3 linked regions of the Macaca fascicularis genome follow. The protein of the gene in region 3 purifies or fractionates together with the protein of the main gene of each other region. This does not show direct contact. Links are inferred from orthologs where the notes say so. Each region holds a gene or a part of one and is shown on either strand. Other genes may lie near its edges. The genes, in order: CCNB1, GRK2 and PTCH1.

Evidence for each region.
Region 1: the proteins of PTCH1 (region 3) and CCNB1 purify together in Homo sapiens (affinity purification with western blotting; 3 studies listed by BioGRID and IntAct, with this or other methods). This does not show direct contact. The link is inferred for Macaca fascicularis from reciprocal best matches to the Homo sapiens genes PTCH1 and CCNB1.
Region 2: the proteins of PTCH1 (region 3) and GRK2 purify together in Homo sapiens (affinity purification with western blotting; 3 studies listed by BioGRID and IntAct, with this or other methods). This does not show direct contact. The link is inferred for Macaca fascicularis from reciprocal best matches to the Homo sapiens genes PTCH1 and GRK2.

What each region holds. Positions count from the first base shown.
Region 1 is NC_088380.1:74,824,142-74,835,055, reverse strand, and holds the start of CCNB1 (G2/mitotic-specific cyclin-B1), read right to left. Parts: upstream 5,149-10,914; 5' UTR 5,036-5,148; coding exon 5,015-5,035; intron 4,388-5,014; coding exon 4,217-4,387; intron 4,123-4,216; coding exon 3,952-4,122; intron 400-3,951; coding exon 217-399; intron 1-216. UniProt on the Homo sapiens protein: Essential for the control of the cell cycle at the G2/M (mitosis) transition.
Region 2 is NC_088388.1:7,094,781-7,105,121, forward strand, and holds part of GRK2 (beta-adrenergic receptor kinase 1), read right to left. Parts: intron 5,491-10,341; coding exon 5,414-5,490; intron 3,567-5,413; coding exon 3,493-3,566; intron 3,349-3,492; coding exon 3,247-3,348; intron 3,141-3,246; coding exon 3,066-3,140; intron 2,930-3,065; coding exon 2,868-2,929; intron 2,028-2,867; coding exon 1,976-2,027; intron 1,666-1,975; coding exon 1,574-1,665; intron 1,306-1,573; coding exon 1,206-1,305; intron 1,118-1,205; coding exon 1,039-1,117; intron 946-1,038; coding exon 815-945; intron 500-814; coding exon 405-499; intron 336-404; coding exon 228-335; intron 20-227; coding exon 1-19. UniProt on the Homo sapiens protein: Specifically phosphorylates the agonist-occupied form of the beta-adrenergic and closely related receptors, probably inducing a desensitization of them. Key regulator of LPAR1 signaling.
Region 3 is NC_088389.1:127,585,910-127,596,250, reverse strand, and holds part of PTCH1 (protein patched homolog 1), read right to left. Parts: intron 8,060-10,341; coding exon 7,941-8,059; intron 7,302-7,940; coding exon 6,899-7,301; intron 5,554-6,898; coding exon 5,244-5,553; intron 1-5,243.

The sequences.
Region 1 (10,914 bases), on a different chromosome or scaffold from region 3:
ATCCACCCTGACTTCGAACTTTCCTGCACAAAGTGGCAAATAGACTCCATTGATTTAGTGACTTTTTATTTTAGGTATTCCATGAAGGAGAATTTGAAAGTGCGATCTCTTAAGAAATGCTGCCCAAGTCCTGCTTGAATTATTATGAACTATTGATAGAAAAGACTTTCATAAAGTTAGATGCAGTTTAGAAAAAAAACTAATGATAATACTGACCTCAAGTTGTCTCAGATAAGCATAAATATCTTTCACATATTCACTACAAAGGTTTGGATCGGCTCCATCTTCTGCATCCACATCATTTACTGCAAGAATTACATCAGAGAAAGCCTGACACAGGTCTTCTTCTGCAGGGGCACATCCAGATGTTTCCATTGGGCTTGGAGAGGGAGTATCGACCTTAAAACAAAGAGATCTCTTGAAACAAGAGCAAATAGGAGTAAGCACTATAGTTTGGGCTTGAAGGTCAGGTTATTGGTACCAACTCAAGATAGTGTTCTCCTGAATCAACATACAATTCATTTCCTTAAAGGAAAAGTATCTTTTCATACTTATTCCATTTCTTTTTAGGAAGTGATTAACATCCAAAGTGATCATTTGGGTTGGGCGTGGTGGCTCACGCCTTTAATCTCAGCACTTTGAGAGGCTGAGGTTGAGGCCAGGAGATCAAGACAAGCCTTGGCAATATAGCAAGACCCTGTCTTTGTTAAAAAAGAAAGTGATCATTTAATTACTCAATTAAAAAGAATGAGGTCGGGCATGGTGGCTCAAGCCTGTAATCGCAGTTCTTTGGGTGGCTGAGGTGGGAGGATCCTTTGAGACCATGAGTTCGAGACCAGCCTGGGCAATATAGCAATAACTCATCTCTACAAAAAATTAGCTGGGCATGAAGGCAACTGCCTATAATCCTAGCTACTCAGGAGGCCAAGGTAGGAGGATCACTTGAGCCCAGCAGTTTGAGGATACAGTGAGCTATGATTGCGCCATTCTGCTCCAGCCTGGGCAAAAAAAAAAGAGTGAAATGCCAACTCAGAGTGAGTCAGTTTAAAGTTGGAAGCAAATAAATTCACATTCTAGACTTTCCTGCAAAGGAAACTGAGAAGTAATTAATCTTTATCAGCAACATGTGAAGTTAATCCAAATAAAGGACAGTTCAGTCTTTAGTCTTTATTTCAAAATATAAACTGCTTCTCACTACTCAAAATAACATAAATTCTATCCTGACTACTAAGGATTAACTTCATTACCATTAACCACTTCCTTCAAGCTCCCTTTATCCCATTGTTCAAACATTTATTGAGCCCCTTCTTCAAGTCAAACTCTACAAGGCATTGACTTCATGGCATCCTCAAGGGACTCTGAATTTAGTAGACAAAGTAAAGAAATAAGGTCGGGCGCGGTGGCTCACACTTGTAATCCCAGCACTTTGGGAGGCCCAGGTTGGCGGATCATGAGGTCAGGAGTTTGAGACCAGCCTGGCCAACCTGGTGAAACTCCCTCTCTACTAAAAATAGAAAAAAAAAAAAAAAATTAGCTGGGTGTGGTGGCGGGTGCCTGTAATCCCAACTACTCAGGAGGCTGAGGCAAGAGAACTGCTTGAATCCAGGAGGCGGAGGTTGCAATGAGCCAAGATCACGCCACTGCACTCCAGCCTAGGTGACACAGCAAGACTCCGTCTCGGGAAAAAATAAATAAATAAGTAAAAATAAGACTGAGACTGGGCATGGTGGCTCATGTCTGTAATCCTAGCACTTTGGGAGACTGAGACAGGTGGATCACGAGATCAGGAGTTCGAGACCAGCTTGGCCAACATAGTGAAACCCCGTCTCTACTAAAAATAGAAAAATTAGCCAGGCATGGTGGCACGTGCCTGTAGTCCCAGCTACTTGGGAGGCTGAAGCAGGAGAATCGCTTGAACTCAGGAGGCAGAGGTTGCGGTGAGCTGAGATGGCATCACTGCACTCCAGCCTGGGCAACAGAATGAGACTGTCTCAAAACAAACAAAAAGACTGATTCTAGGAACAGGGGTGGAGATGGGAGAAGTTCAGGAAAGCTTCAGGAGTTGGTGCTTGAGCTGTTTTCAAGGATGAAAAGGTTATTAGCTAAATGAAAGGGTAGGGAAGGCATTCTTACTAAGTGGGAAAGCAAAGGTAAGAATCGGTATGGACCTTTCAAGAAAGCATCATGTAGTTTGATATGCCCAAAGACCATGCTGGCTACATGTTTCATGTGCTATGCCCAGAAATTCAACACTAAAGCAATAGTTTTCAATGTCTTATCCTTAGATATAAGAAGCTTAACTGGCTGGGCGCGGTGGCTCACGCCTGTAATCCCAGCACTTTGGGAGGCCGAGGTAGGCAGATCACGAGGTCAGGAGTTCAAGACCAGCCTGGCCAACATGGTGAAACCTCATCTATACTAAAAATATGAAAATTAGCTGGGTGTGGTGTTGTGCGCCTGTAATCCCAGCTACTAGGGAGGCTGAGGCAGGAAAATTGCTTGAACCTGGGAGGCAGAGGTTGCAGTGAGCCGAGATCACACCACTGCACTCCAGCCTGGGCAACAGAGCCAGACTCTGTCTCAAAAACTTTTTTTTCAGGGCCGGGCGCGGTGGCTCAAGCCTGTAATCCCAGCACTTTGGGAGGCCGAGACCGGCGGATCACGAGGTCAGGAGTTCGAGACCATCCTGGCTAACACGGTGAAACCCTGTCTCTACTAAAAAATACAAGAAACTAGCCGGGCGAGGTGGCGGGCGCCTGTAGTCCCGGCTACTCGGGAGGCTGAGGCAGGAGAATGGCGTAAAAACCCGGGAGGCAGAGCTTGCAGTGAGCTGAGATCCGGCCACTGCACTCCAGCCTGGGCGACACAGCTGAGACTCCGTCTCAAAAAAAAAGAAAAAAAAAAAAAAAAAAAATTTTTTTTTCAGATAATTTTCCCAACTGGTTTTAATTAAGTTTAAAAAACTGAGCTTCAGAATGCAGTTCATTGCAGTTTCATCAAAGCAGCCTCCTCTACATGACCTACTTTTCCTTCACAGGGAGGTCTATCATAGGATACATTTACATACCTTTTATTTAATAAAAAGTTACTGGTTTTGAGGCTAAGTGTTAATTCATCTTTTTTTTTTCTTTTTTTTTTGAGACGGAGTCTGCTCTGTCGCCCAGGCTGGAGTGCAGTGGAGCGATCTCGGCTCACTGCAAGCTCCGCCCCCCGGGTTCACGCCATTCTCCTGCCTCAGCCTCCCGAGTAGCTGGGACTACAGGCGCCCGCCACCACGCCCCGCTAATTTTTGTATTTTTTTTTTAGTAGAGACGGGGTTTCACGGTGTTAGCCAGGATGGTCTCGATCTCCTGACCTTGTGATCCGCCCGCCTCGGCCTCCCAAAGTGCTGGGATTACAGGCTTGAGCCACCGCGCCCGGCCATTAATTCATCTTCTTAACCACTCCCTGAAAAGTTGCATTCTTCCTGTTTTACTCCTTTGCATTTTCCAGTGTTACAGGTTTATTATTTAGTAGCCATATTAGGCAGTAAAAAATTTCAAGAGAACATTCTGTTTACTCCGATAAATTCTGCAGAGGTGGCTTGTACTTGGACAACAAAGCCTTTGGCTCAGGCAGGTACTACTTAATATCATTAACGAAGGAATATAAGACAGTTAACAATTAAAAGCATAGATTCTGAAGCCAGACAGCCTGAGCTTAAATCTCATATGGGCCACTTACCTGTGTGACCCTGACAAAACCTCTCTAAAGCCATGATTTAAATAGCAGAGGTGACAATACCTACCTCAGAGTACCTGTAAAGATTATGTGAGTTAATGCATGTAGAATGTTGGGCAGAGATTGCCTCATGCTAAGCACTCAATAAATGGTATTAATTTGAATGCTCTTGCAGTGAAATAAGGGACAAGAAATAATCAACAGACTCTACAATGGTAAGAATAAGTTTACCAAAATAGGCTCAGGCGAAAGTTTTTCTTCTTTAACAGGCTCAGGTTCTGGCTCAGGTTCTGGCTGTGGCACTGGCTCAGACACTGGCACTGGCACCAGCATAGGTACCTTTTCAAGAGGTTTTGGTAGTTTTTTATCAATAACTTTTCCAGTAGCTGAAGGTTTTACTTCCTGTAGATGAAACAGAGAGAATGAAATGTTTCTGCATCAAAGGCCACAGTTGTAAGGCCAGCTCTGACAGAAGTTAGGTTGGGAAGACAGTTACCTTCTTCATAGGCATTTTGGCCTGCAGTTGTTCACTGACTTTGTTACCAATGTCCCCAAGAGCTGTTCTTGGCCTCAATCCGGGCTTGGAGGTTGCAGCAGGGGCCGTAGGAACGCGCTTTGCGCCTGCCATGCTGATCTTCGCCTTATTTTCAGCATTAATTTTCGAGTTCTGAAAGAAGCAAAGACCACTTTAAGAGCTGGTCCACGGAGGCTCGAGTAAGTCAAGGGTTAATTAAGGTGGGGCACAAGAGAAGTTCCCAGAAGGAAAGCCGAGTAAAAATGGGTTCCGAGGGAAAACGTGGGTCCCAGAGTCTACTCTGCGGCCGTGACAAGTCAGTTTCCGCCGACAACCTCTACATTTACCAATTGAGGGATTCCCTGATTAGTCCTGCCCAGCCCTAAAATACCGAGAATTTACGTTTGAAAGGAAACCGAAAAAGCCTCCAATTGCAGACACCTTCTCTCTGGGAAGGGGGTTACAGAGCTGCTGGCGGGCCCACTCAGGGACCCTCTATCACTTTTTCAAAAGGTTCCCAGTCGACTTTCCATCTCCCCCAAACATTTATCCAATATCGGTCCAGTTCTCTTTCTCACCTTCCTCCCTCCATCCATCGTCCCCCACACTCCCCCACCAGGCCTGGGCCCACCTCGACGCTCTCTTGGTGACTTCCCTCCCACCTTCCTCCCCAAATCGTTCCTGCGGCCCTCTCCCGCTCGGGGGGCTCCCGCAGGCGAGGCAGAGCGAGCAGGCTGCAGCGAAGAAGGCCGCGTCAGTTCGCAGTCCGTAGCGGCTCACCCTGGTGACTCGGAGCGCCATGGCTTCCTCTTCACCAGGCAGCAGCTCAGCGGGGAGAAGCAGAACACCAGAGCCCCGACCAGCCGAGGACCTGCACCCAGCAGAGACCAACAGCCGTTCCTCCGCAGCACGCCGGGAAGAGCAGGCCCAGCCTCAGGTTTAAACCCCGCACTGCTCCCTCCTTATTGGCCTGTTCGTGGCACTCACTCCCTTCCCATTGGCGGCTGCCTGTCCCGGAGAATGCGTTTCCAGGGCGATCCCGCGAAGGCGTTCGAGAGGGGCGGGGCCAGAGTGAGGCTAGGTCGGAAGGCGTGGCCAGGCTCTCCTGTGGTCTGCCTCCGCGCCTGCGCTCTGGGGCAGCTGCCGCGGCCACCTGGAGAGCCGAGCAGCGCGAGCACCGCCCACCTGGAAAGGTGAGCCGGGCAAGAGTGTGCGCTGCCAATATCAGCTCAGGAAAGGCCTGGTGACCTTTGGAAGGTGACAGTGGCGCGGCCACAGTCTCAGAAGTGTCAAAAGTAGTTTTGGATCTAGTCCAAATTATTGTACACTTTCCATTTCTACGGTAGCAGCAATAATATAGTTCATGAAAGGCTTTGATATACGTTCTTTCATTTGATCGTTGCAACAACTCTCTGGGGTGGAGGAACTGAAGCTCAGCGCCTTAGATGACTTTGCCAGGATCACACATTAGCAACGGGGGAACAGAATTTAGGGGTTTTTTTTTGAGGGGGAGGGAGGGGGCGTATTCGTGTTTTCACAATACTGATTGTCCCTTAACAATATTACTTGATTACTTCAAGATTGGCCAGTTTCCCAAGGCCAATTGTTTTGTGTGTTTTAGCTTCCTATTTGGAAATAATTTCATACTTGCACCAGTTGCCAACAAAAATCTTGTAAGGAACATTTCTGTACCCTTTACCCAGATTCAACTATCCTTAACATGTATTTGCCTCTCATGGGAAGATCAAGAAAAACTAAACAAAAAGACATTTTACACCATTTGCTTTGTTATTTGCTCAATCTCTCTCGGGATCCAAAGAAAAATAAGAGGGTTCTTTTTGCCTTCTACTCCTCAAAACACACCAGGAGCTCAACAATTGGAGGGGAGGCTGAAGGACAAAAACATTGATACCTCATAGAGCAACGGTATAAGAGCCAATAGAGACTGCTGGCCCTGGAAGTCAAGGATCCGAAAGAAGGCGCCCAATCATTTGGTTTCATTCGATCGTTATTCAGTCTTCTATCATCATAGTTCTACCCTCCTACTCGGATGCCTACCGTGGGGCCCTTACCATTGCTCTCCTCTGCCTGGAATGCCCGCCTCTTGTTGCACTCAAGCCCCTGTTCTATTCAGGTAATTCCCATTCATCTTTCAGTTCTGTGTTCAGCATCCATCCTCAGTCTTTCTGGGTTTGATCAATCCTGCCTCGCCCCATGCAAGGGCGAGAGGCAAGGGGTGAGGCAGGATTACTTATCCTCTGTGTTCCAGTTAAAAAAATTTTTTTTTACTTTTTTTTTTTTTTTTTTTTTTTTTTTGAGACGGAGCCTGTATCTGTCGCCCAGGCTGGAGTGCAGTGGTGCGATCTCGACTCACTGCAACCTCCGCCTCCTGGGTTCACTCCATTCTCCTGCCTAGTGGCTGGGACTACAGGCGCCTGCCACAACGCCCGGCTAATTTTTTGTGTTTTTGGTAGAGACAGGGTTTCACCGGGTTAGCCAGGATGGTCTCGATCTCCTGATCTCGTGATCCGCCTGCCTCGGCCTCCCAAAGTGCTGGGATTACAGGCATGAGCCACTGCGCCCGGCCGAGTGGACATAAGGTTTAAACTCATTTGGGTGAATACCAAGGAGCAAGACTGTTGGATCATATAGTAAGAGTATGGTTACTTTTGTAAGAAACCGCCAAACTGTCTTCCAAAGCTGCTGTACCATTTTGCATTTCCATCAGCAATCCTCACAAGCATTTGGTGTTGTCAGTTTTTAAAAAAAATTGTAGCCATCCTAATAGGTATGTAGTGGTAACTCATTGTATTTTGATTTGCAATTCTCTAATGACATATGATGTTGAGTATCTTTTTCTGTGATTATCATCTGTATAACTTCTTTGGTGAGGTATCTGTTCAGGTATTTTGCCCAGTTTTTGTTTTGTTTTGTTTTCTGAGATAGGGTCTCACTCTGTTACCCAGGCTGGAATGCACTGGTGTGATCATAGCTCACTGTAACCTCAAACTCCTGAGCTCAGGCAATTCTGCCTCAGCTTCCCAAGTAGCTAGAACTATAGGTGTGAGCCACCATGCCCAGCTAATTTTTTTATTTTTTATTTTTTGTAGAGATGGGTTCTCACTATGTTTCCAAGGCTCATCTCAAACTATTGGTCTCACAAAGCACTGGGAATATATATATATACATGTATATATGTGTCTATATATATGTATATATGTGTGTGTGTGCATGTGTGTGTATGTATATATACACATTTTTTTTTTTTTTTGAAATGGAGTCTCGCTCTGTTGCCCAGGCTAGAGTGCAGTGGCTCGATCTCGGCTCACTGCAACCTCTGCCTCCCAGGTTCAAGTGATTCTCCTGCCTCAGCCTCCCAAGTAAGTGGGACTGTAGGTGCCCGTCACCACACCTGGCTAATTTTTGTATTTTTAGTAGAGACAGGGTTTCACCATATTGGCCAGGCTGGTCTCGAACTCCTGACCTTGTGATCTACCCGCCTTGGCCTCCCAAAGTGCTGGGATTACAGGCGTGAGCCACCACGCCCGGCTGCACTGGGAATATTAAAGGCATGAGCCACCTCTCCCAGCCTTTGCCCAGTTTTATTTTTGTTTTGAGACAGGGTCTTTATTACCCAGCCAGGGTGCAGGGGCACAAACATGGCTTACTGCAATCTTAACCTCTGGGTTCACTAGAGCCACTGCACCTGGCCTCAGACTAATATTCTTCTTTTTATTTATTTTTTTTGTTTGTTTTTTCTTTTTTTCTTCTTTTGTTGTTTTTATTTTTTGGGGGGGGGGTACTAATATTCTTAATGGTACATTTTGTCATGTTTATTTTTAATTTTTATGCATACATAATGGTTGTATATATTTATGGGGTACATGTTATATTTTGATACAAGCATGCAATGTGTAATGATCAAATCAGAGTAATTGGGATATTTATCTCCTCAAACATTTATCATTTATTTGTGTTGGAAACATTCCAACTCCACTCTTCTAGTTATTCTGAAATATACAGACTGGGTGCGGTGGTTCATGCCTGTAATCCCAGCACTTTGGGAGGCCAAAGCAGGAGTATCATTTGAGCCCAGGGGTCCAAGATCAGCCTGGGCAACCTGGCAAACCCCATCTCTACAAAAAATACAAAAATTAGCTGGGATTGGTGGTGTGTACCTGTAATCCTAGTTACTCAGGAGGCTGAGGTGCGAGGATTGCTTGAGTCTAGGAGGTTGAGGCTGCAGTAAGCTGAGATCATACCACTGCACTCCAACCAGGGTGACAGAGCAAGACCTTGTCTCAAAAAAAAAAAAATTAAAGAAAGGCCGAGCGTGGTGGCTCATGCCTTTAATCCCAGCACTTTGGGAGGCCAAGGTGGGAGGATTGCTTGAGTTCAGGAGTTTGAGACCAGCCTGGCCAACATGGTGAAACCCCATCTCTACAAAATACACAAAAATTAGCCAGGCATGGTGGCACAAACCTGTAATTCCTGTTACTCAGGAGGCTGAGGCAGGAGAATCGCTTGAACCTGGGAGGCAGAGGTTGCAGTGATTCGAGATTGCGCCACTGCACTCCAGCCTGGGTGACAGAGCAGACTCTGTCTCAAAAAAAAAAGAAAAAAAAAAAAAAGGAAATATATACAATAAATTATTGTTAATTATAGTCACCCTAGGCCAGATCTAGGCTACCGAACTCTAGATCTTATTCCTTCTAATTGTATTTTTGTGCCCATTCACTGTGATCTTTTTTTAAAAAAGGTTTTAAATTTTTGGCCGGGCGCGGTGGCTCAAGCCTGTAATCCCAGCACTTTGGGAGGCCGAGACGGGCGGATCACGAGGTCAGGAGATCGAGACCATCCTGGCTAACACAGTGAAACCCCGTCTCTACTAAAAAATACAAAAAACTAGCTGAGCGAGGTGGCGGGCGCCTGTAGTCCCAGCTAGTCGGGAGGCTGAGGCAGGAGAATGGCATGAACCCGGGAGGCGGAGCTTGCAGTGAGCTGAGATCTGGCCCCTGCACTTCAGCCTGGGTGACAGTGCGAGACTCCGTCTCAAAAATAAATAAATAAATAAATAAATAAAAGTTTTAAATTTTTTTTATTATACTTCAAGTTCTAGGGTACATGTGCATAATGTGTAGGTTTGTTACATAGGTATACATGTGCTATGTTGGTTTGCTACACCCATCAACTTGTCATTTACATTAGGTATTTTTCCTAATGCTATCCTTCCTCCAGCCTGCTACCCCTCCAACAGGCCCGGGTGTGTGATGTTCCCCTCCCTGTGTCCATGTGTTCTCATTGTTCAGTTCCCGCCTATGAGTGAGACTGTGCAGTGTTTGGTTTTCTGTTCTTATGACAGTTTGCTGAGAATGATGGTTTACAGCTTCATCCATGTCCCTGCAAAGGACATGAACTCATCCTTTTTTATGGCTGCATAATATTCCATGGTGAGTTTCACGATTGCTGCCCAGACTGGAGTGCGATGGCAAGCGATTCTCCTGCCTCAGCCTCCCAACTAGCTGGGATTACAGCCATGTGCCACCACGCCTGGCTAGTTTTGTGGTTTTTTTAGAGACAGGGTTTCTCCATGTTGGTCAGGCTGGTCTCGAACTCCTGACCTCAGGTGATCTGCCCGCCTAGGCCTCCCAAAGTGCTGGGATTATAGGCGTGAGCCACTGCGCCCAGTGCCACGTTTTCTTAATCCAGTCTGTCATTGGTGGACATTTGGGTTAGTTCCAAGTCTTTGCTATTGTGAATTCACTGTGATCTTTATTTCTGTTCTGACAAGTCTTTTTGATAGTCCTTTCCTCAAATTCAGGCTGTATGTTTGGAATTATGAAATAATTAAGATGACTTTTACACCCTTTAAATGCCTTAGGGGTTTCCTGGGTTTCCATTGTATTTCAAGGAAACTACAAAGATTTGCTACTTCATCTTATAAAAGAAGAGATAATAAGGCCGGGCGCGGTGGCTCAAGCCTGTAATCCCAGCACTTTGGGAGGCCGAGACGGGCGGATCACAAGGTCAGGAGATCGAGACCATCCTGGCGAACACGGTGAAACCCCGTCTCTACTAAAATACAAAAAAAATTAGCCGGGCGAGGTGGCGGGCGCCTGTACTCCCAGCTACTCGGGAGGCTGAGGCAGGAGAATGGCGTGAACCCGGGAGGCAGGGCTTGCAGTGAGCTGAGATCTGGCCACTGCACTCCAGCCTGGGCAACAGAGCTAGACTCCGTCTCAAAAAAAAAAAAAAAAAAAAAGAAGAGATAATAAAAATAATTAAATGTGCTTGGCATTTTCTAGATTTTAACTAATCCAAAACTTTTGTCAGAGCTATTTTATCTGCCAAACCTAGAATATTTTTTTAAATGGACAATTCAAAAGCTCTATTTTGTTTTTCTCTTTTATTTATTTATTTATTTATTTTTTATAGAGATGGGGGTTCACTATATTGACCAGTCTGGTCTTGAACTCCTGGCCTCAAGTGATCCTCCCATTTTGGCCTACCAAAATGCTGGAGATTACGGGCATGAGCCACCACACCCAGCTCTATTTTGCTATTTTTTTAGTGAAAATATACTTTAAGTTTGAGAGACATATTTATATTCATTTATAAAAGTTGACACATTAACTATAGGTCAGGCGTGGTGGCTCAGGCCTGTAACCTCAGCACTTTGG
Region 2 (10,341 bases), on a different chromosome or scaffold from region 3:
CTGCCGGAAGGGGCTATGCCTGGGCAAGAGAGGCCAAAAACAACGTCAAAGGACAGGAATGGGGAAAGGGAGGCAGGCAGCATGAATGAGCTGTGACCAAAGTCAGGGACGGTGCCACCCTTAACACCAAGGCAGCTATGGGCTCCCCTCCTCTGGCATCCCACCTGGATTGGGGAGGAACTTCTCTTAGCCCCGACCCACCTGCCCACCTGGGACGGGCCACTCACCCCCGCAGCAACTTGAAGAGCATGCACCCCAGAGAGAACCAGTCGGCACTGCTGTCATAGGCTACGCCCTTCTGCAAGACCTCCGGAGCCATGTACCCGTGGGTGCCCCTGTGGGAGCAAGGGGGCCATGAGCGGGAGTGGTGAGGGGTTGGGGGGGAGAGGGTGGGGGGCACTCACACGCTGGCATGGGGCTTCTTCTTGGAGAAGTCGCAGGCCAGGCCCAGGTCTGAGATCCGCACGTGGCCATGCTCGTCCAGAAGGATGTTGGCCGGCTGTGGAGGAAGCCCAGTGAGCTGCCCAGGGCACTCAGGATGGGGCCCGGCCAGGCAAGATGCCAGCTGGGGCACTGCTTCACTGGAGAGGACGATGGCTCCCCAAGGAAAGGGCAAAGGTGGGGTCCTCTCTCTTGTCCCCAGCCACAACCTGGACCCAGAGAGTAGCTCGGTGGGAAGGGCAGGGGCGGAGATGGGAAGACAAGGGGTGGCCATGTCCCAGGAGCCTCACTCCTCTGGGCCTGGTGGCCGGGATGCTGAGAGGAAGGAGAGGACAGCTACGGAGGCCCAGCCTAGGGACAGCAAGGCGCTCACCTTCAGGTCCCGGTAGACCACGAAGCGGTTGTGCATGTGCTCCAGGCCCAGGATGATCTCGGCCGCATAGAAGCGCATGTCAGCCTCTGAGAAGACCCCGTGCTGGGACAGGTGGTAGTGCAGGTCCCCACCTGAGGGAGGCAGCCCCACAGGCAGCATTCAGCATCTTGCCCCAGCCTGCCGTGCCTGGGCCCAGACCACCCTGGGGCAGGGCCAGCACTCACCATTCATGAGGTCCAGGATGAAGCTGAGCTTGTCTGGTGTGTGGAACGCGTACGACATGCAGACGATGAATGGGCAGTCCTGGGAGGGGAGAAATGAGGGGAGGGGCAGTCAGCAGGGGTGCCCGGGGTTCCAGAGCCTCAGCGGCAGCCCAGCCCACCCCACTCACCCCGGTGCTGACGAGTGAGAGCATGATGCGCTCGTTCAGGGCCAGGGTCTCCCCCTGCTTCATCTTGATGCGCTTTTTGTCCAGGCACTTCATGGCGTACCTGCAGAGCAGAGGTCGGCAATCAACACCTGGGAGCAGGGGCCCAGGGCTGCCTCTGAGGGCGCTTGAGGGAAAGACTAGACCCAGGACCAGCCTGTGACACAAATAAGAGACAGGGAGGGCTGGGGCCAGAGGAGCCTGCAGGGGTAACAGCATGGCAAGACAGGAGTGCATGGGGCAGCAGGTAGCCCTGTGAAGAACCCAGCCCATCAGGGCCCCCAGGAGCCCGGCTCCCCCAGACATTCCCCCACGCCGAGCAGGGTGCTCACATCTTGCCTGTGTCGGCCTTCCGGCACCCATAGACCTCGCCGAAGCCCCCGCGCCCGATGATGCGATGCACGCTGAAGTCATTCATGGTCAGCTGAGGGGCAGTGACAGCTGCGGTCACCACAGGCTGCCTTGGCCCAGTCCTGGGGCAGAGGCACCTGGGCAGCAGGGGCTGGCCCCATGCCAGGGTCCCCATACCCATGTCCTGGCCATCCTCGCCACACACTTACCTGCTCCAGCCTCCCCATGCCAGGATCCCGGCCCTGACCCCCGCAGCCACGGCCCTGGGGGCTAAAGGACAGATACCCCCTGACCTCCCCACTCCCAGCCAAGCCTCAGGCCCAGCTCCCCGGAGAGGAGCAGCAGGGTGCACAGCTTTCCATGCCCCACCCAGGCCCACTCACGTGGATGTTGAGCTCCACATTCTTCCACTGGCAAAACCGTGTGAACTTATCACTGGAAGAGAAGAATCTGGGCTCAGGGGCCACTCAGAATGTGGGAAGGATGATGCTGTTGTGAGCCTGCCCCACCCAGCAGCCACTCCCTGGGGTCCCGTGAGGGTAGATGTGGAAACATCACGAGCTTTAATGTCCTCTTCCAGGAATGATATGTTGAGGGCCTGCCCACCCACAGTGCCAGCCAGGGCTGCTTGGGTACCCAGCTCGGCCCTCGGCCACCTGGCTGTGGCTTCCTGCTGGAATCAGATCCACACAGAGACGAGGTCTTCCAGTTTAACCCAGACCTTCTGCTACCATATCCTTGACAAGTGCATCTCCCATCCCTGCTTGCATACCTTCAGTGACACAGAGCTCACTCCATGGCTGGGCAGCAGTGACCCTAAAAAAGCTGCTCCCTAAAGCTAGCTGAAATCTGCCTACAATTCCCACCCACCGCACCAACTCTGGCTGTGAGGGTCACGGGGGCTATGTGCTCTCCCGGGCCCACCCCTACCACGACCCTGATGCTTCTCAGCCCGGGTGGGCCAGCAAGGTGCTATACAGCCCATGGGAAAGAGGCACAGGTGGCGCGGCTCTCCTAGGTCCCTGGAGCTCCCTGGAGCTAGGAGACTGCCTGGGATGGGCTTTGAGCTGCCTGGTGCTGAGGATGGCAGCGTGGGAGAAGATGACCTGCAGCCTGTCTGACCTCTCAGGAGTCCTTGCAAGGGGGCCACTGATGGGCCAGCCACCTGCCTGCTCAGGGCCTAATGAAGGCTGGCTTCTGCCCTCCACACCAGCCACACCCTTTTGAGAGCGGCTTCTCCCTCCCCATTCCTCTCCTACACTGCCCCGCTCTCACCTCTCGATGAATTTCTGGAACACGTCCCCACGGAGGTTCTGACAAATCTCTTCAATGTATGGCTAAGGGAGGAAGCTGGAAGTTGGTGACTGAGCCCCGAGACCATGGCTGCCCAGGCCCCACCCCTAGCTGACCAGGCTCGTTGACCCGGGGCTGTCCAAGGTGACTTCGCCTGGGCAGGGATCGGGAGGCACACACCTGGAAGAGATCTGGAGGCACCTGCTTCTTCCCCAGGTGGCCTTGGACATGCTCAGTGGCACTCTTGGAGAAGGGCTGGGGAAGACAGAGGTGGCCATGAATTCTCTGCAGGGTCCTCTTTTCCCCTCCCAATCTGCAGGTGACTCTGGGCCAGCACACAGGGCCAGCCGAGGACACTCACGTGCGAGCAGGCCAGCAGCTCCTTCATGATGTATGAGTCGAAGATCTCCCGGCTGCGCGCCACACGCTCCTCCTCTGTCTCCAGCTTCTCATACTTCTTGATCTGGAGGACAGGATTCCTGCAGGTCATCTATAGCCCAGCAGGGAATGGGGGTGCCCACACCAGGTGGCTTGTGGATTCCACAAAGCTGCCCCAACCTCCTTCCCTTTCTCCGGGCAGAGCAGGGCCCGGGCCTCTGGGCCTCACCTCCTCGTAGAACTCCACCAAGGGCCTGGCCTCCTCCAGGTGGTTCAGGCAGAAGTCTCGGAAGAGCAGGTACCCTGAAGGCAACAGTGTAAGGTCACAGAGCCATGCCTCCGAGGCCTTCCCATCATTGCAGATGGTGTGAGTTGAGCTCCCTGGGCAGAACTGGCTATGGAGATGGCAAAGGTGGTCTCGGCCCCAGGCAAGGGGTGGGCCAGGCAGCCACTAAGGCTGCTGCCAACTTGAAGACACCTGGATTCTGGGTCAGGGCCCCTATGTTTCTACCCTCTTCCTGAAATCTGTTTCCCCAGGTGGCAGCTGGACGGCGATGGGTGAGGCAGAAGAGAGGTGTTAGCTCTGGCATCAGGGAGCCCTGGCTTGGCACCTGGGCCCCCACTCACTGCAGCCCAGGACCCTGTGCCTGCTCTGTGAGGCCGATACCCCGCACCGGGGCGGGCTGTGCAGGTGCAACGCGATCCAGTCTGGGGGCCCTGGGATGCTGTGGCCACCAGGGCCAGTTCAGCCTGCAGCATGGGGGGGAGGTTAGCAGGGGGCTCTGAGAGGCCACACCACTCCTCTGGACCCTGCCCCACTGCATTGTCTGGCTTATCTGCACAGTGGCCTGAGAAACAGGCAGGAAGGATGGGTCCAGTTGGAGAAACTAGGGCTCAAGGAGCTGGTCAGACACACTGCCTGTGGCAGAGGCTCAAGCGGAACTCAGGACTACTCTACCAAGTGGCAAGTCCCTGGGAAAGAGGTTGGGGGCTGGGGCCTCAGGGCAGGGGGCATGGAAGGGGTATGGGCCACAGGGAACTGGAAAGGCAAGGTGGGCTGTGGGAGGGGCTCTCAGAGGACCCCAGATAGAGTGCCCTCATGCCTGAGTAAGGGGCCTGGGCCTGGGCCCAGGGACCTGGCCCCCGAGCACTACCCGGGGACAGAGGCCCTTCTCAGGCCTCCAGTCTGACACGGGTGAGCCGGCTCAAGCTGGCAGCCTCCCATGCCTTCGGGGACACCGCATGGGCACCTGGGTCAGAGCTGTGGCCATCACTTCAGTCCTCACTGCCTGGCCTTTAGTGCAGGGCTTTTGAGGAATGGGGACCAGGCTTCACAGTGGGCACAGTGCTCTCATCTGACTGTGACAGGCCTGTGCAGTGGGACTCATGAGTCCCATCTCCCAGGTGAGGACACCAGCAGACTCAGAGAGGTGAAGCAACTTGCCCGAGGGCACATGGCACAGGCCTGGGACCCAAACTTTGTGCTTCCTGACACACCGACTCCCCCAGGCTGACGTCCAGTGCCTGATCCCATCAGGCCAGGATGCCCCCTGTCCAGAGCTGAGCTCCTATTCTCAGGAAGGCCAAATCAGAGCCATGTGGGGCTGGAGCCTGTTTCCCGAGACCTGCCCCAAGCCTGCCCTCCAGGCCAGGTCCACAGGGTGGGTCGCATGAAACTTCTGACAGCAGGCATCAGACACCAGCTGGAGGAGGAATGGAGGGCCAGCGCCAGGCAGGTTGCTTACAAAGAGGGCCCATGGGGTGGGGCGGGGCCAACCACAGCTCGGCAGGCGCCACAGGAAGGGCCCCGCCTCTTCCTGTCAGTTCTACCAACGGCCCAGAGCAGCTGCGGCCGCGCCAAGGGGAAGCTGCAACTCTCAAAAACAAAAACCCCAAAGGAGGAACTTCCCTGGCGGCCCTGGAAGACTCTGGGCCCCCACCCCCACCACGGGGCTCCCTGGGCCGATGGGCAGGGGCTAGGAGACACACAGGGTCACAGAGACTTGGAGCAAACCCTGGGGTCTCGCTGGCTGCTCCACCCTGAGTAGATGGGAGGCCAAATCTCCAGAGAGTGGGGAGCACGGCTGGGCTGACTGGGGTAGGGGCAAGAAGTGAAGCCTGGTGGCTGGCAGAGCCACTGCCATACTCACCCAGCTTCTGGGAAAAGATCTTCTCAAAGGTCACCTCGCCTCGGTCCTCCAGGTACTTCTGCATGACACTGCGGATGCTGTAGGACAGGGGAGTGCAGTAAGCAGAAGCTCCCAGAGCCTGTCGGGGCTGCAGGCCCAGAACTGTGAGCGGAGGGCACTGCTGGTGGTGTCGCCACTCCCTCCAGGAAGGAGGCCACCATGTCGGGCATACTCACTCACCCCAGCCACAGGTCAAACCAGACGGCTTCCAGGAAGCCTTTCCCTGCACTGCCCCCGCCAGGTTGTGTCCCAAAGGCCAGGGTGGCCGGCAGGTGGCCCCCTGCTTAGAGGCCCACTGCCTGTGGGGTTTGGTCCCAGTGCTGCAACCGGCTGGCTTTGGGCACTTGGCCAAGTCACAAAAGGCAAACCTGGTTTGTGAGCAGATGAAAAGACACACATGTGGCATCTCCACACAGGGGCACATGGCTCGGCGGTAAAAAGGAATGAGGCACTGACAGGGGCCACAACGCGGATAAGCCTTGAAAACATGAGGCTGAACGAAGCCAGTCACAAAGGGTTGCCACATACTGTGGGAGTCCACTCACATGAACAAACCCACGGACACAGAATGCAGATCTGCGGCTGCTGGGGACTGGAGAGAGGGAGAGGAGTGACTGCCGGTGGGGATGCGGTTTCTTTTTGGGGTAAGGGTTGCACAACATGGTGAATATACTAAAAAACACTAAATTGTATAATAAAATGATGAATTTTGTATGAACTGCATCTCAATGTTTTAAATGGTAAGAAAAGGCCATGTCTTGGTCGTGTGTCCCTAGTACTTGGATATAAAATGTGACCCCTGCCCTGGGTTGCTTGGTATGGCCGTAGGGGAGGGACTGGCCACTGTGACCCCCAAAACCCAACCTGACACCCCCCACCCTGTTTATCTCACCCCCACAATGAGTGCTGTCTGGGAGAGCCACAACAGGCTACACTCCTGGCCTCAAATACCACCTTACTATCCCCTCCTGCCCTCTCCTGGTCCATCTCCAGCCCAGCCCTGCCAGTCTGTCCCGATGGCCAGCTGAGGCCTGCATCTGGTCCTCAGTAGTCTGGGCTCCTAGGGTAACGTGTAGCTGCCATACTGAGGGCATGTGCGGGGCTGGGGGACTGTAGGGCCAACAACCTGAGCCCATGTCATGCTCACATGGCCCTGCAGGATCTATGGGGCCGCCAGCAGGCCTCCTGGGAAAAGACTGCAGCTGGTGGAGATTTGGATCTGCAAGTCCAGATTCTCTGTGCTTGGCACAGCCCCTGCCTCTCTGCACCCCAGCCCTGCCTGCCCCTAGGAGCCCAGTCCAGGGCTGGTCGGACTGGCCACCCAGGCTGTGGTCACGAAGACCTGCTGCACATCTACCCCTGAGGCACTGTGTACATCATGCCAAAGCCACCCCCTGCTCCAAGCAGCCCTGCCCAGGGCATGGTTCTGAGCCTGTGATACCAGACATCGTGTGCAGAAGCCTTGGGAAGGGGAGGAGGCCTCTGGGTCTGGGGAGGCTCTGTGCAGAAGGCGGAACTCCCCTGGGTTCCTGGAGTGCAAGCAGGATCTCGGCAGGTGGCGAAGCCAGGGAGGTCGGTAGACATGGGAACAGGCAGGGGACAGTATGTCCAGGGATAAGCAAGAGGCCAACAGGGCAGGGGAGAGGGCACACAAAGGCCATGGCAAGGGGGAGGGCAGGGCCTTGCAAACTGGGGGGCTTCAGAGCCAAGGAGTGGGTGGGAGAGCAGGACTCAGGAGGCTCGGTCCAGGGCAGCAGCAGCCCAACTCCACTGGAGGCGCTACGGGGAGGAAGCCCAGGCAGAGGCAACACTTGGGCAGGAAGAAGGGGAAGAGGGTGGGTGGGAGAAGGCTCAGGCTGTCGGGGACCAGGAGAAGGGTTATGAGTCCAGCCCCATGAGGGCTTCCAGGCTTTGGGCCCGAGGGTCTGGAAGAACAGTGGCTCCAGCCAGAAGAGCTGTCTGCGGAGAGCAGCTCCAGGCAGCACTGACCTGGCCTGTGGACCCTGCCTGGCCACTGGCCTCAGGCTCGAGAGGGGGGCCCCTATCCGTTTCCGCTGGGCACTGTCCTTCTGGGAAGGGCTGCAGTGGACTCCCGGGCCTCGGCCCCTGATCTCACTTGGTTCGAGCCTTCCTCAGGAAAGGCCGAGCAAGATAGCACGATAGCACGTGCACAGCAGGGTTGCCATGAGCACAGTCCCAAGGCCGTGACCCCCTCGCCTGCTCCCCACCCTCAGAGGCTGGGAGGGGCTGTGGCCTCTTCCAAAGTTGTCTCCAACAGGAAGCAGGGCACTGAAGACAAGGATGGGCCTAAGTGACCCTGAGTTCGCATCCTATGACTCCTTCAGAACAGACCCTGCCTGGATGGGAAAAGGGTCAATGCCCCACCACCGGGGAGTCAGGATGCTCTCTGAGAACTGGCAGGAGTTCCGAGGATGGGCCCCCCGTCCAGGCCAGCACACCCACCGCTTCAGGACACATGCCAGCTCATGTCCACCAGCCACTGTCAAGGACATCTTTCCCTGCACGTGGGACTCCCAGGGACACAGGAAACGGTGGACGGAGACTGTGGTGTTTCACACACAGCAGGGGCTTCATAAAAATCTCTTTAACTGAGAAAGACACAGTCCCTGCACTCAGCACTTGCAGACAGGAGGCCTGGGCCCTGGGCGGCCCTTGAGGCACAGGTTACGCACTGGGAGACCAGAGCGTGGAGAAAATCCCAAGGCCAGGGGCCTGCATCTCACCTGGGAGGTGGGCCGGGAAGGCGGGACTCTGGTTCTGCACCAGATTTTTGAGTTCTGGGACATTCTGGTCCACAGAAGAGGATGAAAAAAAGCAAAAAAAAAAAAAAAAAACCACACAAAATGCCAGTCTTCCGAAATGCCTGTCTTCTGGGGCAGTGGAGGGTCAAATGAGTATGATCAGGTGCTGGTCAAGCGGAAGGCAGCGACAGGCAGATGCAGATGACAGGCAAAGCAATTCTAGCCTGTAGGGGTCACCCACCAGGAGCTGGGCATGGTCCTGGGAATGGGGGCCACGGGGCTTCAGCAGTAAGCCCCACTGAGCCCCAGACTTGCTTCCTAGGAGCCTGCAAAAATGGTGCCAGCTTGGCAGGGGGCAGTAGCTCATGCCTGTAATCCCAGCACTTTGGGAGGCCGAGGCAGGTGAATCATGAGGTCAAGAGTTCAAGACCAGTCTGACCAACATGGTGAAACCCTATCTCTACTAAAAATACAAAAATTAGCCAGGCGTGGTGGTGTGCGCCTGTAGTCCCAGCTACTCAGGAGGCTGAGGCAGAGGAATCACCTGAACCCTGGAGACGGAGGCTGCAGTGAGCCAAGATTGCGTCACTGCACTCCAGCCTGGGTGACAGAGAGACTGTCTCAAAAAAAAAAAAAAAAAAAAATGGTGCCAGCTTGGCAGAGGGAATGGCCACCTAGAAGCCAGGGAGTAGCCACTGCCACTTCTCAACTGGACATACAAAATCTCCAAGGGGGAAGCATGCTCGCTTCCCTGCCTGCGACAGCCAGGGGAACCTGCCGGGTAGGCCCTTTCTCCTTCCCAGGGGCTCTGCTGTCGGTCCCCGCCTGGGAACAGCAGGAAGCAGGACCTGGGGCTCTGAGGCCATCTCTCCCCTCAGCAGCCACGCCTGGGCATGGCCACCGCATTCTTCCCAGCCCACAGCACTCCACTTTCTTCCTTAAAAAGAAAAAAATGTTTTTTAAATAAAATAAACAACCCCCCTCCCCCCAGCAAGAAACCAAACACGAGGTCAGGCCTGAGCACAGTCCTTGAATGGAAGGCCCCCAAAGTGGCAATTTTAGGGTTTCCTGTCTATTCCCATGGGTCTGGCTGCCAAGGGAACTGGCAGGTTGGAAGAACTTGCCACTGGGGGCAGCTCCTGCCAGGGTGGCAAGCACAGGCGGGCATGGGGGCGGTGCAGCCTCCTGGGTTGGGTCACCTTGTCTCCAACACCGCTCCCTGATACTGGCAGAGTCTGGAGTGGCAGTGAGCCCAGAGCGTGTCCCTGCCCCCACCCAGGTCAGCAACCCTGAGATCCAGGGGAACGTGGCTCCCAAGATCTACTCTGGAGCATCAGGAGAACCAAGTGGCCTCAACAGTCCCAGACGGAAGGACCCTAAGGATCCCAACACTTTTGAGCAAGGGCCTTGATCTTTGCTCTGGCCGCTGGATGGGTGCCTGGGTTCCAAATGGCCCTTACCATCTGGTCACAAAGTTGAAATGTCCAGTTTCCCCACTTGTAAAATGAGGATGTCAATGAGATGCTGAATCGCCACCATCACACTGGCCATTTGCAAAGCCTGGGCGGACACGGCAGAAGGGGGGCTCCTAAGATGCCAGGCTGGCCGTGCTGCCCACCGTGCCCTGCCTGCTGGGCCATGGGAGAGAGCCGCCAGAGCCCTGTTCCTCAGCGCCCCACGGCTCACGGACAGTCCGTGCTGGATCACACAGTGGCCGGTCTTGCCCGACCCTCTGTTCCACATTTGCTGTGTTCTTGGAGGATGGGGCCTTGGTGGATGGGGCCTGTGGCCAGGGCTGAGCTGAGCAGGGTGGTTGGGACTCCCCTGCTCACAGACCAGCTTCAGGCACTGCATCGCTCTACTGTGGGCCCAGTGGGTAGAGCCTGCAGCCTGCCCTGCCAAAGCATCAAGGGCTCCTTGGCACAGAGGTGCTTGGTGCCTGCTCAGCCTTGGGAAGGAGTGGTCAGTCCCACCTTGGCACCCCTGCAGCTAGGGCAGCCCGCACCAGCTCCCGCTGCTCCTGGAGCAGGCCCAGCCCAACGCTGGGGGCAGAAGACAAGTGAGCAGCTGCAGCACTGAGCGCTGGGTGACAGGGAAGGAGTGGGTGCTGAGGGAGCACTTCCGGTC
Region 3 (10,341 bases):
TGGACTTTCATGAATGAACCGCAGCCACTGCTGAAAACGGGGAAGGAGATGATCTGTTTCTGTGAAACACACACTCCTATTTTACCTTAAGGAAAACCGCTCTCCTCCTTTCGCCCCGTGACAATTACAAACGGCGGCAGGAGCGCGGCGGAAACATACCCACCAGGGTCGTTCCCCGCTTCGTGCCACTCGGGGTGCTAAGTCACGGGTTCTTCAGCACACCCAGAAATTCCACGCGGAGGGAAAAGCATCCTCCAACTCCCAACTTCAAACAGCAGCTCAGCTGCTTCTGGAGCCCAGGGTGAGCGAACACGATTCTGTCAATTTGTTCCATCTGTTCGGCTTGTGGAGCTAACACAAGCTGTGGGATCCGCTGCCAGGTTGTGTAAAGATCACAGCCAACACCTATTCACTCTCGACTGCTCTCTTCCTCTCTGCCACCCTTCCCCGGGAGAGGGGGTGGAGAAGGAAGGGAAGGCGCTCATGTGCGTGCAGGGAAATACCTCACAGGGTAAATTTGGATCCGATTGAGAACAGGAAGCCACAGGCCAATACAAGGAGGCTCTGTGAGAACAGATGACAAACCACAAGCCGGGGAGGGGAGGAAAGAGCTTTCTGGGCCTGGGGGATGGGCGAGCCCGCCAGTCCACCACACACAGCTGCACTTGGCCTCGGTAATCAAAACCATCATTACAGACCTGACGGTTTGGCTGCAGCTGTAAAGAGATAAGCGTGTTGGAAGAGAAAACAGGGCCCCGGTGACTCGGCCTTAGGGTCTGAGCGCTGGCTGGTGCGCACGCTCTCCGGGACACCCCCACCCCCTCACCCACCCCTGCCCCTCCCAGCCACCTCCCAAGTAGAACTCCCAACCCCAGCAGCTCAGGAAACCACAGCTTTTGAACAAGCTGTACATGTATGGCTTGGACACGGCTAGTAAGAAGGGAGAAGGGTTTATTTCATTTCAGGACATGCCTTGGATGACTTCAAAGGCTTCAAAAAAAAATCTGGTTGCGTTAGTGCTCAGAATGGTTAAGCTCTTGGGGTCTGAAGTGGGGGGAGGAGGGGGAGCACAGGCCCCCTTCCGTCTCTCTGAGAAGTGAAACCCTCCTTCTGACACGACTGGCTAGAGGAACAATTTGGGGATGACAGTAACGAAAGGAGGCCATGTCGGGTTGAACGTGGAGGGGAGACGGGACAGGAGACCACCGGGTGGGCCGCGTACCTCTCAGACACACGGTTTTCATAGGGAGGCATGCACACACACAGCACCGAGCAGATGTTATGTTATTACTGAAAGCCCTTTCTTCCTGCTTTTGAAAAAAAGTGAACAGGAGAAGAAAAATTACTGCTCCTCCTTTCCCCTCAAAAAGGGAGACCTCATCTGTTTTCCTCGCCGTAACAGTTTTCATGACCTCACAGCGCGTCCTGGGCTTTAAGCCCCTCTCCCTTAACCGGCTAATCCTGAAGACAGGCTCACGCTTGGTGAGTGTGGGGCAGCGCTGGGCATCACAGCAACCAAGGGACAGCCCCGTTACAGTTAGTCACTCCGGCTTCACACATGGAGGAACTGAGGCTTGGAGAGGGGAGCCCGGAGAAGGCCACGCAGCAGGTGAGCGTTGGACGGAACTCAAACCCAGGCAGCAAGTCAGCAGAGGCAGACGGAGCCACTCACTGGCCTACAGTGCCGGGACACACTGTGGTACCCAAAGATGTGTCAAAGGCAGGAGTAAGACAAGCAGATTCAACTCCAGCATCAACAACATCTGGTGGCAAACAGGGTCCCCAAAATCTGAGGGCGGTTTTACGATATTCACACACAAAGACTTCTGGGACACCCGAGGGTGAAACAAAGGAAGAAAGAACCTATTTGGGGAAGCCAGCCTTGTTGGAAACTGGATTCAACTCAGAATCTACACTGCTGGTCCCTTAGGTGCCATTCACTGTACCAGGGGTTCAAAGATGAATACGAAACAGTGATCGACTTTATGGAACAGTTAAGTTCTTTCCCCATTACTACAGTATTTTCTGATGAATCACCAAAAAGCTCAAGTAACAATGGGCTGGCCTAAGCACATGTACAAGGTACGACCCTGGACACAAAACAAGGGATAAGGTTGGGTTTCCACTGCCCCTTATCCAGTGCTTCATATTCTAACGCACGCACACTCTAGAAAACTGTGACATTTTACTTATTTTACAGCAAATCTTAACATGTCAGCTAGAAGTTCTCCCCTTATGAATACCTTGTGCTAGTAATTATTTTCTAGTGTAAAGTTCTGGCCTAAAGGAGTAACCCCGATTGCCCATTTTCCTTCAGCTATGGAACCCCAGAAGTAAAATGTTAATCACAATTTTGTTTGCATAATCCAGTGTGAAATAAAAAGGAACACATTTGCACAAGATTTGAGGCATGATTTTGATCTGACTCCGCCTTGTTTGCATGTGTTTTAAGATGTGACATGTAGGGCAGTTTTGAAATTAACCATTATATAGTTTTAGGAATAAAACAAATCAAAGATAAACTTTTGGAATGTTGATAAAGACCAATGAAATAACATGGTTTTAACGGGAATTCCATTAAAAACCAATGAGGCTCCCCCCATTTAAAAACCACACAAAAATGTTAGCAAGGAAAGCTGACTCAAGGCTAATTGTTTCCTTGGAGAAAATATTCAAAGACCACATCAACCACTCAACAGGCCTGAAGAACGTGTAGGCAGCAAAGGGCTCCCGGGTCTGGTCATTCTGTGTTGAGTGCTCTAGTGGACCCTGTAAGAGTCAGTCATGGAGTCCCAGGGCTGCCTGAGACCCTGACTGCTCAGCAGCAATGGATCTCACTTGGTCTAGGTGTATGCCGTTCACATAGCAATCAAAACATGATTCCAATGCACCTTAAAAAAGAAATCTCAAGTCCAGCTGCTTTACATCTATAAAGGAAGAAATGTATAGAGATGATCTACAATGCTCTATAAAAAGGTTAACCCCCTGCACGGCCTTAAGACAATCCCCCTTTACCCCCTTCCCGATCCTTGCCTAGCATGCCACACTGAGCCTCCAGAGCAGTGGCCAAAGACACTGAAATACCCTCTACAGTAACCCTCCTCTGCTCAGAGACTGGCAGGGCACAGCAGATCTCTTTGTTATCTGTGGCAAGTTATTTGCATGTCTTTGGTCAATGCAGGGAAAATGAAAAGCAGGGACTCTCTCCACTGTCTCTCTTTTAACTCATTATCCCGAAAACCATTGCTTTCTAAACTAAATGTGAAAAATAAAGCTTGGAACAAATTCACGTTTGTCTCAGGAGGCTGTTAATAGATAATAATCATGGCATGTTCTCTTTACCTTCCTCCAAAAGGAAAGTCAAACTGGGTATACATGTAGGCAGAAAGTTCTGGTAAACACAAGTCAAGGCCAGAAGCTAGCTGTATGGAACCTCCACCAACCTCAAGTTGTTGACCATTTCCGGCAAACTCTCAGGGAAACTGGCTGCCGAGTCTCTACGTACAAGTGTATTCACTTCAGACCAAAAAAGGCACTTACATCTGTGTCTAAACAAGCCTAATTAAGTGGGACATTAAGACAATCATTTGGATTAATCTAAGCCAAAAAATGTTGGGGGCCATAATGATTTGGTACTCCAGTAAAAGCGTTTTTGCTTGAATTGGGTGGATAATTATCCTGATTCTCTACTTGGCTTTGCATGTGTCAACGCAGAATAAATGAACAGATGTTCTTGGAATCACTGCATACATTTCTATGCAGTTGGTCAGGAGAAAATTTAGACTTTTTTTTCCCCTCCAGCTGATGAATATTTCCTAGAAACATTTCTAAGAGCAAAGAAACCAATAAAGGCACTTTATTATTTATTTATTTTTTGAGATGGAGTCTTGCTCTTGTCGCCCAGGCTGGAGTGCAATGGTGCAATCTAGGCTCACTGCAACCTCCACCTCCCAGGTTCAAGTGATTCTCCTGCCTCAGTCTCCTGAGCAGCTGGGATTACAGGCACCCACCACCACGCCCAGCTAATTTTTGTATTTTTAGTAGAGATGGGGTTTCACCATGTTGGCCGGGCTGGTCTCGAACTCCTGACCTCAGGTGATCTGCCCACCTTGGCATCCCAAAGTGCTGGGATTTACAGGTGTGAGCCACTGCACCCCACGAAGAAGGGCATTTTAAAGCAGAATTTGATTATTTATAAAATAGTGTGAAATGTGATTAAACATTTATAACTTTACTTTATGTACCAAATCACGAAATGGTCAAAATGAACCCAGCCGTAAAGTATGGAGCCTGGGTAACAGTGTGCAGGTTCGTCAGCTGTAACAAATGCAGCCCCTGCTGCAGGACGTTTATAGTGGGGGGCTGTGTATGGGTGAGGAAGGAGGACATGGGCCATCTCGGCACCTTCTGCTCAATTTTCCTGAAAACCTGAAACTGCTCTAAAAACAAAGTCAATTAGAAATAGACAAATAAGGCCGGGCGCGGTGGCTCAAGCCTGTAATCCCAGCACTTTGGGAGGCCGAGACGGGCGGATCACGAGGTCAGGAGATCGAGACCATCCTGGCTAACACGATGAAACCCCGTCTCTACTAAGAAATACAAAAAACTAGGCGGGCGAGGTGGCGGGCGCCTGTAGTCCCAGCTACTCGGGAGGCTGAGGCAGGAGAATGGCGTAAACCCGGGAGGCGGAGCTTGCAGTGAGCTGAGATCCGGCCACTGCGCTCCAGCCCCGGCGACAGAGCGAGACTCCGTCTCAAAAAAAAAAAAAAAAAAAAAAGAAATAGACAAATAACTTCTTAAAGGACGGTCAAAATACGGAGTTTAAGACTATGTCCACTGCTTATCTAGCATCTCCTGGTACAGTAAGCTATAATTTGGCAATCAGTCTGGAAATCCCAGCCACACTTTGATTTCATGTGGTCACCAAACTAGCCACCATCTATCCAAGAGGAAAGCACCAGAAGCCTCAGCTCCACCTGTTACATGCTCCCCTTTTCCTAACGTGCATCTGTACATTCCCACAGCAGCTCGTCTGAATTATCTGCATCATTTTACAGGGAAAACCCAGAGCTGGGAGGCTGCTGCAGAAACAGTCCAGGTAAGACTCTTGAGCAACTCTTAAAAGTCCATGAAACACGTCAGTGTTACATTCTAATCTAACACTTTCATAATCAGGACAAAGGAACCTGTTGAAGCTGAACATGCAAAAGAGCAAAAGGACGAAAGCCCTCCCACGGCCTTACCTTGAAGCCAGTCTCTGAAGTAGTGCAGCCACATTTTGGGAAGCTGTTTGTTTTCTTCCAACATGACATACTTCACGTTACTGAAACTCCTGTGAAGGTCGTAAAGTAAGTGCTGGATATTCGGGTAGTCTGCTTTCTGGGTGACTATATACATGTTGTAGAAAGAAAAGTATTTGAACTGTGCAGCAATAAAGTCATATTCTCTGGTTTCCCGAGGTACAATGTCCGTAAGGTCCAGCCCGTCTCTCACTCGGGTAGTCCCATAAAGGCTGACCCCCAGCAAGCCCAGAAAAAGGAAGATCACCACCACCTGGAACAGAAGAGGTACAAGGTCAGACAGATCCCAGGGAGCACCACTGACTCTGCCTGGACAAAGAGAAGCTGTCTAGTTAATACCTTGTTTGCACCACCACACTTGACCTGATTTAGCTTGTAGGGGTTGTTCTCCCATAGAAAAAGTATAAAATCACAGTAATCGCATTTTTGTTATTCATATATATATATATATTTGTGTGTGTGTGTGTGAGAGAGAGAGAGAGAGTCTTGTGTTGCCCAGGCTAGAGTGCAGTGGTGCCATCTCGGCTCACTGTAACCTCCACCTCCCAGGTTCAAGCAATTCTCGTGCCTCAGCCTCCTGAGTAGCTGAGATTACAGGTGTGCACTACCATGCCTGGCTATTTTTTTTTTGTATTTTTAGTAGAGATGTGGATTCACCATGTTGGCCAGGCTGGTCTTGAACTCCTGACCTCAGGTGATCCACCTGCCTCGGCCTCCCAAAGTGCTGGGATTGCAGGCGTGAGCCACCACGCCCAGCCTTGTTTTGTTATTTATCTGAGTTGGGATCTCACTCTGTTTCCCAGGATGGAGTGCAGTGGCATGATCAGGGTTCACTGTTGCCTCCAACTCCTGGGCTCAAGTGATCCTCCTGTCTCAGCTGCCCAAGTAGCTAGGACTACAGGTACACAGCACCATGCCTTTTTTTTTCTCTCTCTCTCTTTTGAGACAGGGTCTTACTCTCTCACCCAGGCTGGAATGAAGTGGTGCCATCAGGGTTCACTGTAGCCTTGAATCCCCGGGCTCAGTGATCTTCCCACCTCAGCCTCCTAAGCAGCTGGGACTATAGGCACAGCACCATGCCCTGGCAATTTTTTGTAGAGATGGAGTTTCACCACGTTGCCTGGGCTGGTCTCGAACTCCTGGGTTCAAGCAATCCGCTGGCCTTGGCCTCCGAGAATGCTGGGATTAGGGGCGTGAGCCACACCTGTCCCTGGCTAATTTTTAAAATATTTTGTAAAGACAGGGTCGTCCTTTGTTGCCCAAGGCTGTTCTCGAACTCCTGGCTCAAGCAATCCTCCCACCTCAGCCTCCCAAAGCGCTGGGATAACAGGCATGAGCCACCGCACCTGGCAATAATCACATTTTTAAACAACCTCATTCATAAAAAGATTCGCTGCATGGTGGTTCACTCCCACGGAAGATAACCTCATTAAAATGGCCCTGTGCTCTAAAAGCGTTGACTTTTGGAGGACTGAAATATATCATACTTATATGAATTTTTTTAAGGAAAAAGAAGAAAAGTAGAAGCAATCTGATGAGCTCCAAAGGTTCTGTTATTTTTTTGAAGACAGGAAGAGTCTTAAGTTGTGGTAGATTACCTTGGCTTTTGGTTTCAAGAGGAAAGGAGCATAGTGCTTCTCAGCAAAAGATGAGAGCGTCCACTTGGTACAGGGGGGCTCGAGGCAGTGGAGGCTGGAGTCGGAGAACTGGGAGAGCAGGTCCCTTGTGGAGCTGGTGCTCTCCGGGCTCTGGCAGCTGAGGGTGTCCTGCGTCACGGTGACGGGCTGCACGGAGATCTCGGAGCGCGGCTCGGCGGTGGTGTAGTACACGTGTGTGTGGGGGTCGTACTCCGTGCGGAGCTGGACAGTGGACTGCATGGTAATCTGCGTTTCATGGGCAAAGCTGTGGCTGCTGTAGGGGGGTGGGGGGCTGTAGCGGGTATTGTCGCGCGTGTCGGTGTAGGCCTGAGGTTCAACCTGAATCACTCTGCTGACGCAGGGGCTGAAAGGAGGGAAGCACGATGCAATGTTATGCTGAAAGAGGGTAACGGTGCTTTCATTCTGCCATTTTCACTGCGGACGGGGAACCCATTTTACACAGCCCTGACTTGGGAAGAGAAACGTTACACTGCTGAGCTCCAGAAACATGGCCTGGCTGATAACATCATTGCCTGGTGAACTAGATAAAAGTCAGTCTGAGGAGGCCACGTGGAGAACTGATCCTAAATTTGCCTTCCAAAAGCAAGTTCCATCATGACCAATCCTTCAAAGCATAATTCCAAACAAAATCAAACCACCAAAGGACTACACATCTTCTAGAGGGTGGTCTTCAATCTTGTTCTGCTCTAACGCGGAGATATGAAGCGCTCCCACAATTGGCAACATCAGTTCATGATGGGCAAAGGGGTCATCGGTACCAGCATCCCGAGGGCTGTGAGACTGTTCAGCTGGGGCAGGGGAGAAGGAAGCCCAGGAGACTCTGATGCCCCCCTAGGGAGGCAGCCTCTGTCCAATCTCTCCCCTGTCTCCTCCACGCCAGCACAAACCCTGTCACCCACATGCCTAAGTCCACAGCTGAAAGAGTTCTCTCACTGCACAATTCTGCACCCAACCAAAAGGCCACAGCGGTCTGAAAACGTACCTTGTAAAACAGCAGAAAATATCCAGTCTCCTGTCCTCGCGTCGATATAAATCCATGCTGAGAATGGCAGGAAAGATGAGCAGAACCATGGCAAAATTGAACACCACTACTACCGCCGCCTGGGAACAGAGAAGAAATTCAGAGGTCACCAACACGCCTCCGCCCACTCAGAGGTCACCAACACGCGGCCTCCGCCCAATCAGAGGTCACCAACACACCCCCGCCCAGAGGTCACCAACACGCCTCCGCCCAGAGGTCACCAATACCCCTCCGCCCACTCAGAGGTCACCAACACGCCTCCGCCCAGTCAGGGGTCACCAACACGCCTCCGCCCAGTCAGGGGTCACCAACACGCCTCCGCCCAGTCAGGGGTCACCAACACGCGGCTTCCGCCCAGTCAGGGGTCACCAACACGCGGCCTCCGCCCAGTCAGGGGTCACCAACACGCGGCCTCCGCCCAGTCAGGGGTCACCAACACGCGGCCTCCGCCCAGTCAGGGGTCACCAACACGCCTCCGCCCAGTCAGGGGTCACCAACACGCGGCCTCCGCCCAGTCAGGGGTCACCAACACGCGGCCTCCGCCCAGTCAGGGGTCACCAACACGCCTCCGCCCACTCAGGGGTCACCAATACCCCTCCGCCCAATCAGAGGTCACCAACACGCGGCCTCCGCCCAATCAGAGGTCACCAACACGCGGCCTCCGCCCAATCAGAGGTCACCAACACGCCCCCGCCCAGAGGTCACCAACACGCCCCCGCCCAATCAGAGATCACCAACACGCCCCCACCCAGAGGTCACCAACACGCCCCCGCCCAATCAGAGGTCATCAACACGCCCCCACCCAGAGGTCACCAACACGCCCCCACCCAGAGGTCACCAACACGCCCCCGCCCAGAGGTCACCAACACGCCCCCGCCCAGTCAGAGGTCACCAACATGCCCCCGCCCAGTCAGAGGTCACCAACACGCCCCCGCCCAGTCAGAGGTCACCAACACCCCTCCGCCCAATCAGAGGTCACCAACACGCCTCCGCCCAATCAGAGGTCACCAACACGCCTCCGCCCACTCAGAGGTCACCAACACGCGGCCTCCGCCCACTCAGAGGTCACCAACACGCGGCCTCCGCCCACTCAGAGGTCACCAACACGCGGCCTCCGCCCAGAGGTCACCAACATGCCCCCGCCCAGTCAGGGGTCACCAACACGCCCCCGCCCAGTCAGGGGTCACCAACACGCCTCCGCCCAATCAGAGGTCACCAACATGCCTCCGCCCAGTCAGGGGTCACCAGTACCCCTCCGCCCAGTCAGGGGTCACCAACAGCCTCCGCCCAGTCAGGGGTCACCAGTACCCCTCCACCCAGTCAGGGGTCACCAACACGCCTCTGCCCAATCAGAGGTCACCAACATGCCTCCGCCCAGTCAGGGGTCACCAGTACCCCTCCGCCCAGTCAGGGGTCACCAACACGCCCCCGCCCAGTCAGGGGTCACCAGTACCCCTCCGCCCAGTCAGGGGTCACCAGTACCCCTCCACCCAATCAGAGGTCACCAATACGCCTCCGCTCAGAGGTCACCAATACCCCTCCACCCAATCAGAGGTCACCAATACCCCTCCGCCCAATCAGAGGTCACCAATACGCCTCCGCCCAATCAGAGGACCGCTTCGAAAATAAAGATGCTTTTAAACAGTATTTTTCTTTCCCTTTCCTCTTGACGTGTTTGAAACTATGACAGATGTTAAGAGGTTCTTTTGCTACATCATCAAGAGCCGATGTGACAAGCATAGTCTTGACTATTTCTGGGCCTTTCTATCTCTAATAATTCCATGAACCGGAAAGGCACACCTGGGAACTAAACTACTAACGTGTTGCGGTAACCTAACCAAACCGAATCCACAAAGGCGGAACAGAGAGCACGCTCCAGACAGAATGTAAAACAAACAGAAGCATTTCCCTTCCAGAATGCTTCCAAGAGGTCACGCGACCCTGATTTTACAGTTAAACATTTTTATATAAAGTGGATCGAGTATATCAAAATGTCCCCCTTTAAAACAGGAAATACCATTTCGCACGTGTCCCCTGAGGTTTTCATAGGCAAATTCCAAACAGCCTCTGGAGTAGCCAGTGGGGTGTGAGAGCAAGAAACAGAGAAGGCCAAGGAGAGTTAAGCAGAAAGAAATTCCTGTGTGTGATTATAGTAGGCAGAAAGATTCAAAAGTCACTCTATAACCTAGAATAAACACAGGGCTAGATTCTGCAGTGTGTTGGCAAATCTCCTGCTGACCTAGTAAATATTACAAAATTGGGCTGTTAATAGAGGAAGCCAACAGAGGCCAGTGGAAAGTCGACCTAGCTTGGAAGGGCACGGCAGAGGGGGCACCACAGAGAAACGCACTGGCGACGCTGA